3 linked regions of the Cricetulus griseus genome follow. The protein of the gene in region 2 interacts with the protein of the main gene of each other region in a biochemical or structural test. Links are inferred from orthologs where the notes say so. Each region holds a gene or a part of one and is shown on either strand. Other genes may lie near its edges. The genes, in order: Ctnnd2, Dlg1 and Vangl1.

The links.
Region 1: the proteins of Dlg1 (region 2) and Ctnnd2 interact in a test that uses a peptide from one of them, tested with the Homo sapiens proteins (2 studies listed by IntAct, with this or other methods). The link is inferred for Cricetulus griseus from reciprocal best matches to the Homo sapiens genes DLG1 and CTNND2.
Region 3: the proteins of Dlg1 (region 2) and Vangl1 interact in a test that uses a peptide from one of them, tested with the Homo sapiens proteins (2 studies listed by IntAct, with this or other methods). The link is inferred for Cricetulus griseus from reciprocal best matches to the Homo sapiens genes DLG1 and VANGL1.

What each region holds. Positions count from the first base shown.
Region 1 is NC_048595.1:360,840,361-360,844,013, reverse strand, and holds part of Ctnnd2 (catenin delta-2), read right to left. Parts: intron 3,553-3,653; coding exon 2,997-3,552; intron 1-2,996. UniProt on the Homo sapiens protein: Has a critical role in neuronal development, particularly in the formation and/or maintenance of dendritic spines and synapses. Involved in the regulation of Wnt signaling.
Region 2 is NC_048597.1:57,638,564-57,642,216, reverse strand, and holds part of Dlg1 (disks large homolog 1), read left to right. Parts: intron 1-873; coding exon 874-924; intron 925-1,915; coding exon 1,916-2,017; intron 2,018-2,268; coding exon 2,269-2,441; intron 2,442-3,653. UniProt on the Homo sapiens protein: Essential multidomain scaffolding protein required for normal development. Recruits channels, receptors and signaling molecules to discrete plasma membrane domains in polarized cells.
Region 3 is NW_023276806.1:54,795,767-54,799,419, forward strand, and holds part of Vangl1 (vang-like protein 1), read left to right. Parts: intron 1-3,259; coding exon 3,260-3,520; 3' UTR 3,521-3,653.

The sequences.
Region 1 (3,653 bases), on a different chromosome or scaffold from region 2:
TACACCGGGATTCTGGCAGGATGCCACCACATGTAAAATCCTAGCTCTATTCAGGCGCTTCTGGAAACTGCTCCATCTCCATCATGGAAACTATGTTTAATTGGTAATCTTTTTTCTTACAGCCATCACCTAACTCATGAGAAAATCACATTGGCATGCCCCCTTGCACACACACATACTCACACAAACACACACTCACACACACACACACACACACACACACACACACACACACACACACACACACACACACACACAGTTTATCACCTTCAATTAAGTATAATGTTTCCACAATCAACTTTAACTTACATTACTGTAATAACTTCCAAATTACACTCTTCCTTTTGCCTTTGATCCACAGATTTTATTCCTAATATATCAACAAGAAGAAGCCTGCTACAAACTAAGCCAGGCTGTGTCACTTCTGCTCCGGCTCTCAATGGCTTGTCTTATGAGGCCTTCCTGATCTATTAATCCTTCTACCCCAGCCCCTTGGCAAATGTCTAACCTCATCCCATGGCCAAGCCTTCCTCCTGCTTTCCCCACTGTTCACACCAGACACACTCCTAGTCCCCAACCTTCAAACTCACTTTTCTTCTGTCACAGCACCCTTCCTCTAACATCCACAGGCCTAGCTGAGGAAACACTCAAAAGTCACCTGCTCATTATGGACTTCTTTAGCTACCCTATTGAAAGTTTTTGTTTAAATAATTTTATGTCCTCTATATTTGAGAGGTGGTTAGAGATTTTGGGGACTATGCAATCTCCAGAGACTGAACCAGTGGTGGCACACAAGGGATACATAGGGAAAGAATGTGAAATTAGTTGCTAATGGGTGTCACTACCCTCTATTGATACTTTAGTGGTCAGGGGCAGATCTCCCAATTCCCAGCTCTGCTGAGACAAAATATATTTTGTAACCTCAATGTGTTTGTGATCTTCCAATTAGTAGATGGGGTGACTCCCAACTTTGTGATGCTTGGAATGGTTGCAAACACAGGGCATCAGAGCATGAAAGCTCTGAAGTCTGTGAGTTCACACAGACCACAGTCTGTCTCCTACAGGCCATGGGTCCCTGTTTTCTAAGTGGAATATGAAATCTTATTTAAACCCAATGTTCACACACTATGACAGGATAATTTTGAACTCAAAACCACCAGTATCAATTTGCATGAAGAAATCTCTAGATGAATATTTTAACATGTATGTTAAACAAATGAATTCAAACATTTAAAATGTTCGTTGCAACTCTAAAATTAAGACTCTTCAATATCACATTGAATATCTTTTCTCACTAGGTAGCAAAAATGAGATATGGCCAGAAAATATGAGGAACAGAAGGAAGGGAATGTGCTGGTCAACTGAGTCCTCTTTCTGGCCAGAGAAACAGAGAAGTGTTCCCAGCTCTAACCAATAGAAACTTAAATGCATACACACACATCACTACCATCACCACCAACACCACTACCATCACCAACAACAACAAGAATACCACCACCAACAACAACAAGAAGAATACCACCACCACTACCACCAGTAGTAGTAGTAGTAGCAGCAGCAGCAAAGGTCCTTTCTTTAGACCTTTCTTCAAGATCCTACACATATATCTGCCTGGAGGGAAACATCCTCCATTTCACTGCAGTGTTGCAATGTGACAGGCATATGTCTGTCACACATAAGCAGGTGACAGAAGAGCTGGGAACCCCACCCCCAAACAAACAAACAAACAACAACAACACTCATATTTCCTTTCCTCAAGTAAACTCAGAAATGAAATATGGTCTTTAGTAGTCTGGACCCTGGATCAGGACTCCTTGAAGCTTCTCCAAGTAGCTGGTGTGTGGGGTGGGGTGGGGGTATTCCTGAACTTCAGTCTCCTATAACTTCAACTTCTTTGCTTCTTCTTGGTCTGATCTCATAAATTTAGTTTGGTGCCTGTTTCCCAGGCTGTTCTTCAAATTAGCAGCTACATTTGAGATATTTGGGCATTAATGATGGTCTACCTCCAAAATGTCACTCTCCAGGCAAAGCAGAGATAGTGATTATTTTCAGTTCTGTAAACTCACCTCACACAGTTCTGTAGATAGCATATCCCAGCCTGCATCCCGCTAAGCTAGGCTAGTCCATGCTGGCAATTACAGTATTTGAATTAAAGATGCCCTTGGCCACCTGCCTTGTGCCTGCAACAAGTTCCCTTTTTTTTATCCTATTTATCTTCACACTCATCTATTTGTGTCAAAAAAAGAAACATATGAGCACAGCATCTGTTACTAGAGTCACAAAATTACCAATACTTCTATAAGGGAAGAAATAGGCAATAAATCCAGATTACTTGTCAGGTGTTTAAGGAGGGAACATTAGTCTTGCAATCACGGTGTCTTGTTAAGCTGAGCATATGTTACTAACAGCAGATTCACCAGCTCAGCCTAGTCTGTGATGGGGACAGGCACCACAGAAATGTCACCTCTCTGTACTGACAAAGAAAAGCAACCCCCACCCCCAAACTCTAGTCCAACTCTCCCCACTCCGCACACGCCTATTAAGAAATATGAAACATGTTGAACACACTTCCCTATTGGTTTCTTTACAGTTATAACCTATGTAAGTTCAGAATCTGGTTTTGGGAAAAAAAAAATCTAACTTTCTCTGCCAGCTAACTCTGATCATACCCACTGGGATAGTAACTGGATTTCTTTCTGGATGCAAGCAACAGGTCTATGTGGTCCTACTAAATTAACCTTGTTGCTCGGTTTAAGTCTTCAGACTCCGGGTAGGGAAGAGGGAAGACAGGCGAGTGTTAGCGGCAGAGACACCACATGATGGGCACACCTGAACAAGGATGCTGACCTTCTTTCCAGACAAGCCCTGACATCGCTCACAGCCCCAGAATCTGAAAACTGGCCCCGAGGCATGCCCAGACCTGCTGCTTGGATCCAGTCCCCGCTGTACCCCGACATGCGTCCAGGTGAGTTGCGCCAGGGAGCCAACCCCCTTACCTGCCAGGCTGCCCGGCCTCTGGAGGGTAGCCGTGGCATACAGTTCCTGTGAATGCTTGCTGTACTGCTCGGACGCGTGGACCAGGCGCTTGGTGGGCGACAGGGTGGCGTAGGTGCCGATGGTGGAGCTCAGCTGGTGGATGGGCGAAGAGGAGATGGTGGACTGCACGGTGGGGGGCGAGGTCACGCGGATCGGGGACAGGCCGGCCGAGGACACGACGATGTTGATGGGCGAGCTGGTGCTGTAGGACTTGGCCAGGCGGCTGGGCGACTGCTTGGGCGAGGAGCCTCGCGGCGCAGCGTAGGCGGCACCCTCAGGGGCCGAGCCTCCGCGCTGCAGCTTGGTGGGCGAGCCGCCCTGCGTGGTGGTCAGCGGGGAGCCCCCGCGCGGCGGCGCTGGCAGAGTGGAGCTGGAGTAGTAGAGCGCGGCGGCGGCGGGAGGCGCGTCGGGCAGGTGGAAGGCGCTGCCCAGGCTGGGCGCAAAGGGCTCCCGCGGAGGTGGCGGCGGAGGCGCAGGCTCGGACCCCGCCAGGTGCCCCGCGCGACCGGTTGTGCCCTGTGCCGGGAGAACAGAGAACACGCGCGCTCAGTGATGGAGAAGCAGACGCCCACCCGACACGCCCGCCCTCCCGCCGGCCCGGCTGCAAAGGACAACTT
Region 2 (3,653 bases):
CCACAGTACATGTTTAAAACTAGAGTTTTAATTATTTTCTTTGTGTTCACATAGTTCACATAGTTGTTTTTCATTTATAATATTTCCAAAGTTCCTTTAATTTAAATTTCAGATGCCTTAATCTGAATCAAATCAAAATTATAGTGGTTTTTAAAAATCAAATATAGCTTTAGATAAATATACTCAGTTGGAACAGAAATAGTATTTTCTGTGGCTTCTTGGGTATTTTCTGTTTTGGGGTTTTTTTGTTTGTTTGTGTGTTTTGTTTTGTTTTGTTTTTATTGAGGCAGACTCACCTCATAGTCCAAGCTAACCTCAGACTGGCAATCCTCCTGCCTGAGACTCCAGTGCTGAGATTATAGGCAAGCAATCTCACATCCAGCCCTAGTACCTATTTATTGTAAATGTTTAGTGTCCCAGAGGAAGGAATTTTTGTTGGTTTCTGTTTTTGGTATGGGGAGGTTGTTATTTGGAGGCAGTTTTGTTGGTTTGGGTTTTTTTTTTATTTTGTAGTACTAGAGAACAAACTCAGGCAGCCTTCCAATAAATTAAATCTCCAGCAAGAAATGAAGATTTTAATGGATTTGATGATCTATAAATAAAAAAGCACATAATAGCATTAAGTTATGGAAAAAATAGTACATTTATGTTTCATCTTATATTTGTCAAATTTACCTTTATGGTTTAATAATTTCTCCTTTGTACTAAATCTTGCCGTGGATAATTTATGACATAGTACCTTTTTGTATGCCCTGTTCACGTCTCAGAAAGTCCTAGTATCTTGTGTGTGAGGAAATAGGTCAGTTGTGTGGAAGAGGACCACAGTGGCATCAGTTACCTTCATTTTCTTACCCTTGCTTTAACTCTCCATAGGTGGTCAAGAAGAATATGTTTTATCGTATGAGCCAGTGAATCAACAAGAAGGTTTGTGAAGTTTGTTAATGTTGTATAACCTTATTAAAAAGTGTATGTATGTATGTATGTATGTATGTATGTATGTATGTATGTATGTATTCAGGGCCAGTGAGGTGGCTCAGTGAACAAGGGTGCTTTCTGGCAGACATGATGACTTCATTTCATCCCTAGAAATGACATGTTGGAAAGAGAAGCAGCTCCCATAAGTTATCCTCTGATGTACTCATTCACACCACATCACACACAAACTTGATTACAATAAATTGATTGGTTAATTTAAAATAAAATTGAATATACTTCTTAGTTTGAAAAATCAGACTATTAGATGCAAAAATGTGTCAGAATTTTGCTATTTTAAACTATATATGTAGAAAATTGCTTTATGAATTTCAAGAAGAACTATTTAACCCACAGAATATTAGAAGCAACTCATTTTATATTGATTGTTTTTTATTGGTGATGTATTCCTAAGCCTGTATAATATCGTATCACTACCCTTGCAGTAACACTTTTTAAATGTCAAGAGACACTTTTAAACTCCTAGATTTTTATCCCTTTCACCCAGGCGGGTTCTAAGCTATTTTTATTCCTCACTGTATCTAATTCCTCCAACCACAATACTAGTCTGATGCTCACCACTGACTTCCTTCTTCAGATGACCTACTGTGTCCTCTGCTGAACTGTCTTTCTAGATCATGACTGCCACCCATCACCTCCTACAGCCACTTGGTCTACTCCATCTTCCTTCTCTGCGTTTAGTTTTTTACTTCAAAAACCACCAGTAAAACACCGTGTTTTGTTTTCTCTGTGTATTGAAATGTCTAAGATGCTAAATTTGACTTGATTGACTTCAGAGATTTTAATAATAATTTGTTTACAAGAGAACATAATGTTGAGAAGGAACAAAGAAGAGACACATCAGAATGGTTTTCTTCTGCTGAGCTAAAACACATTAGTGTTTGTTAAGTGTTTATTCCTTTTCATGTGTTTATCTTTGTAGTTAATTATACTCGACCAGTCATTATATTGGGACCCATGAAAGACAGGGTAAATGATGATTTAATCTCAGAATTTCCCGACAAATTTGGATCCTGCGTCCCTCGTGAGTAACCCAAATTTAAACTGTTCTAACACTTTCTGTCACTGTGTTTGGAGAAAGTAAATATAAGTGCTTTAACGAGTTAGAGTTAATTGTTTTATTAATTATTCCTTTGTCCTCAATATTATTTTCTCTTTTTTTTAAGATTTAAAAGTATTGTGTTAAACTTTTCAGAAAGCAATCAATTAAGTAGAGGATGTATTTATTCTGTTTTTAAATATGAAACACTTCCCCAAGTTCTTTTTTTATTGAAGATACAACTAGACCAAAGCGTGACTATGAGGTGGATGGAAGAGATTATCATTTTGTGACTTCAAGGGAACAGATGGAAAAGGACATTCAGGAGCATAAGTTCATTGAAGCTGGCCAGTATAACAACCATCTGTATGGAACAAGTGTTCAGTCGGTGCGAGCAGTAGCAGAGAAGGTAAGCACCAGAGCCCCCGGGCAGTTTCTAAGGAGGACACATACTTTTGACTTTTATTTGTATTAATAGAAGATAGATAACATAACCTTGATATTAATATTACTGCATTAGGTAAGTAAAATTTTTATTTTGAGTAGTTTAGAAAAATACATATGACAAGGCTGTCAAAAATCTGAAAATAAGATGATCAAATGCATCTGTAAAATGAGAGATAGTTATCTTAAGGGCTGTTTTAGAGGCAGACCTTATCCTACCTGAAGTCAAGTGTCCATGAGAAAAACTGACTAAGTTGTTAAGCATAGGGGCCAAAAAAGTCTCCCAAGTCTACAAAGACAGAGTAAAAATTCAAAAGTAATGTAACAAGTTTTGGGGTTTTGATTTTGTTTGGTTTTGGTTTGGCTTTTGTTTTTTGTTGTTGTTGTTTGGTTTGGGTATTTTGTGGTTTGGTTTGGTTTGGTTTGGTTTGGTTTGGTTTGGTTTGGTTTGGTTTGGTTTGGTTTGGTCTCTGTGTAGCCCTGGCTGACCTGGAACTCACTCTGTAGATCAGACTGGCCTCAAACTTAGAGTACTCAGGAGGCAGAGATCCACCTGCCTCCGCCTCCACCTCCTTAATGCTGGGGTTAAAGGTTCCAGACAACAAGAAGTTATTTTAAAACATTCTCTAATATATTGGTTAAAACAGTTTTTATAATGAAGTCAGGATTATGTGTTGATTATATCAATCTGTCCAGTGATTTCAAGGTCAGTCCAACAGTATCAAATCAGTCAGTAGGAAGCACAATAGAATAATTATCATCTTGAGGCCAGGCTGAACTATAGTGAGTTTCATACCAGGACCAGTGGTAGGTAGGCTAATAACTAATAGATAGGGAAAGTGGGTAAAAAGTTGTATTGATGAGTACAAACTCAGTACATATATGGATTATCACATTTAACCCTACTAATATGTGAAACTTCTGTCTGTTTAAAATTTCTCCATGTTAAAATCATCTTTGCCTTTGTAACTAGTTTCAGGGGTGACACTTTCTCAGTCTAGCCTAACCAGTCCAGGTTCAGTAAGAAAACTTATCTTAAAAAGTAAGGTTGAAAGCTAGGACAGCAGACTTTGGCCTCTGCCCTCCACATTCCCGAGCTTACCCATGCATGCACTACACACACCAGTGAGTAAAATACCAAGATCTAGAATGACAAAGCCTGAGGAACTGTGCCCAA
Region 3 (3,653 bases), on a different chromosome or scaffold from region 2:
CACTTCATGTTAATTCATGAAGTGTTAAAATTATACCTGTCATCTGATCCAGCCTAACTTAGTAGCTGTCTTTTTTTTTTTTTTTTTTTTTTTTGGTAGAAATGATGCCACCATTTTGGATGTTGTAGAGTTTGTTTCCTGAGCAGTCTTTTGGATTATGGCATCAGTACACTTTAGGAATGGATATTACAATAACCATCAATGTCATTTAATAGAGGACTGTGGCCAAAAGAGAAGGGGTGGGTGCAGCTGGTGGGTTCAGATCATCGCCCCAGTCGCTCAGCTGGTGTGTAGCTGTGCACATGTATTTTTTGTTTGTTTGTTTGTTTGTTTGTTTCTACACTTGATTCCTCCATATAAAGGGTGGGTATCTGCTTTGCAGGGTTGGTGTGTAAGAAATAATGATAAGTCAGGTTACATAGCATGTGAATCCTGTGGACCCATGAATGACCTTGGCATTGGTGCATAGGTAATATTTGATAGCTCTTTTCCTAAGGACATCTTACTCTTACACTTCCCACAGTTGTCAGTACTTCTGACTTGGAAAAGCCAGGCAGAAATATCCAGTGAGAAACTTTAATGTTTTCCATCTCTTTGACTCAGTAGTCTCTTGCCCAGGAAAATTAGCAGTCAGGCCCATAATCAGTTCTCTGTCTGTGTGGGTTCCCCATCTGTAGAGTCAGCCAGCTATGGGTGGAAACCTTCACTCCTGTGCTGGCCTGTGCACATGCTTTCCTGTCACCCTGAGCATATACACACATGCTTTCCTGTCACACTGAGCACACACACCCACACCCCCCCCCCCACACACACACGCACACATGCTTTCCTGACATATTGAGTGAGTACACAGCTTTCCTGTCACTGTCCCATAAACAACATAGTGTAGCAGCTACTTAGCATCATCACATTGCAGTAGATTCTGTATGTCACCTAGAGATGATGGATTCTACAGTATACAGATGTCTGCAAGTTACTGAGTGTCCTGGAATCAGCTTTTCAATTACTATCTATATTCACAATTATACATTGAAGGCGGATTGCCCCTCACCTAGAATATCCTATATAACTCCAAACTGGAAATCATTTACAAATGTTTCTGATATGCTATGTGGTATATCATCTGTTGGAATGGGGGTGGGGGAACTTGTTTGTGTATTCAGTTACAAAACTCCAAATACAACAGATCATGGACACAGGTTTCAAATACAAAACTATGTGCCTGTGTGCAGAATTATGACTTCTGGCATGAAAAAGGGACAGCTGTTTTCCTTTCTTCAGGGTTTCTTAAAGTTGTCTGATTTCTTCCCATTTCATTTTAAAAATTTATGCTTTCTTGGATGTTTATTGTACAAAAAGAAATGTCCAATGTAGAAGGCTCTTGCTTTGAGCCAGCTATAGTAACTTATGATTGTAATCACAGTGCTTGGAAGACTGAGGCAAAAGATCATGAATTCATAACTACCCTGGGCTATGTAGTGAATTCTAGTCCAGCCTGGGCTTAGCAGAACCCTTTTCAGAAACAAAAACCAAACAGCAAAACAACCTGAGCTGATGAGATGGCTCTGTAGATACAGGTGCTTGTCACCAAGCCTGAGCTCAAGCCCCAGAGCCTACCTACTGGAAGAAGAGAACTGACTCTAGTCATCCACATGCTGTGTCATGCATGTGCGTGAGCATGTACACACATGCATACACACACACAAGTAAATAAATAAATGAATAAATAAATAAGTAAAGTTATTAGAAATCCCCCCTCCCGGTCTCCACTTCCCCTAGCCCATATCCCCCTTACTGATATGGGCTAGTGTATGGTCTCTCCACCATGTCTGTGTTCTAGTGTGGAAATGCTTTGATATTAGACATGTCTGTATTTTGGAAACCTGCTTTCTCCACTCAAGGCTTCTTGGATCTTTCTTTCAATGTATGCTCACCTGACTCACGCAGCTCTGTCTTGCTCCCTGGGAATACCTGGAGCAGATTTGCCTAACTGCTTGTCTGTTGGTGCACATTTGAATTAAGTTTCATGAGTCAAAGCCAGGGGTTGCCTGTTTCTGTGACTCCGATTTCACTGGAACCCAGCCGCACCTTCTTGTGTACCTATCACCATGGCTACAGCTGCTGGCGCTGCATAGCAGAGTAGGGGAGTTACGAAAGAGGATTGCTTGAAAACTGAAAATGTCTTGACCTCGGCCTAGGACCAGATGGATACATGCCAGTGTTTTTCAGTTTATATTATTGGCTCATTCTTTCTCTCAACTAAACTGTTTCGTGTATTTAATTTTGTGCCAGATAAACTAGAAAGTCACACTTTCAAAAGAAGAAAACAATGGTGATGTAGTTCTTACCCTCTATGAGCATGAAGCCTAGAGGGGAAGAGACATAGTTGGTCATAGTTCAGAAAGTAAAATATGACATGAGATCATCCAGGTGGCTTCAGGAGCTTTGACAGAAGAGTGTGGCAGTCCATTTGAGCAGGGGCAAAGATAGTGCAAGGTGTGAAGGACAAGGAGGAATAGCACGTGGGAAGATGTCGTGGAATCAGAGAACTTCGGTTATCTCAGAGAGGGGAGGGGACATTGGTGTGTCTGTCCCTAGAACTGGCCACCTGCCTTGAGTTCTGCATAGAATAACCAACGGTTACAGTGTTCCCACTGAGCTCCAGTGGGAACTGCTTTGTGAGAACTGAACCCTTCCAGCTTGTGGTAGCCCAGAGAGTGAAATGGTGTTGTATCCACCCAGACAGAGGTTAAATGACTGAGCATCATCACAGCCAGCAGGTGGTAGAGCATGCAGTTTTGTCCTTGTGGCTGTTATTGTCTGTCTGCCTTGGATTCACTCGACTAGACCTCTGTGCCAGGTACAGGGAGCTGTCCTCAGGGAGCTTTTACTGCAGTGGTGGAGGCAGGTGTCAGAGGTGCCAGTGTCTGCAGGTAAAATGTCACGTTAGCAGTGCCTTCTGATAAACACTGGTAGCTACTCCATTTCTCTTGCCTCACCCTCTGGTTGCAAATTGCCAACAAACAAAGACAAAACAAAACAAAACAAAACAAAACAAAAAACCCTAAAAACCACTGAGGAAGTCCAAGTAGTCTTCCCTCCCCAGAGAGGTCTCATGGGGCTTCAGCATGAGATGCTGAACTCTGGTCTAAGGTCTCCATGTAATTGGTAACATTTCCTAGGGATTAAAAGGATGGCCCCTGGCCTCATAGCATAGCAGCCCTTTTTTACTTCCCTCGTGTTTTCCTTTGGCTTTCAGGCTTTCCTTGAAAGATACCTCAGCGCCGGCCCCACCTTGCAGTATGACAAGGATCGCTGGCTCTCGACACAGTGGAGACTTATTAGTGACGAAGCCGTGACGAACGGGTTACGGGATGGAATTGTTTTCGTCCTTAAATGCTTGGACTTCAGCCTCGTAGTCAATGTGAAGAAAATTCCGTTCATCGTACTCTCTGAAGAGTTCATAGACCCCAAATCTCACAAGTTTGTTCTTCGCTTACAGTCTGAAACATCGGTTTAAATGTTCTACATATGTGGCTTTATGAAAAACAAAAGAAGAATATATATAGAGATATATATGTCTGGGGGGAGTCATTTTATAAAGAATTTTTTAAAAATTTTTCGATGCTGACTGAAACTGGCAGATGATAGAC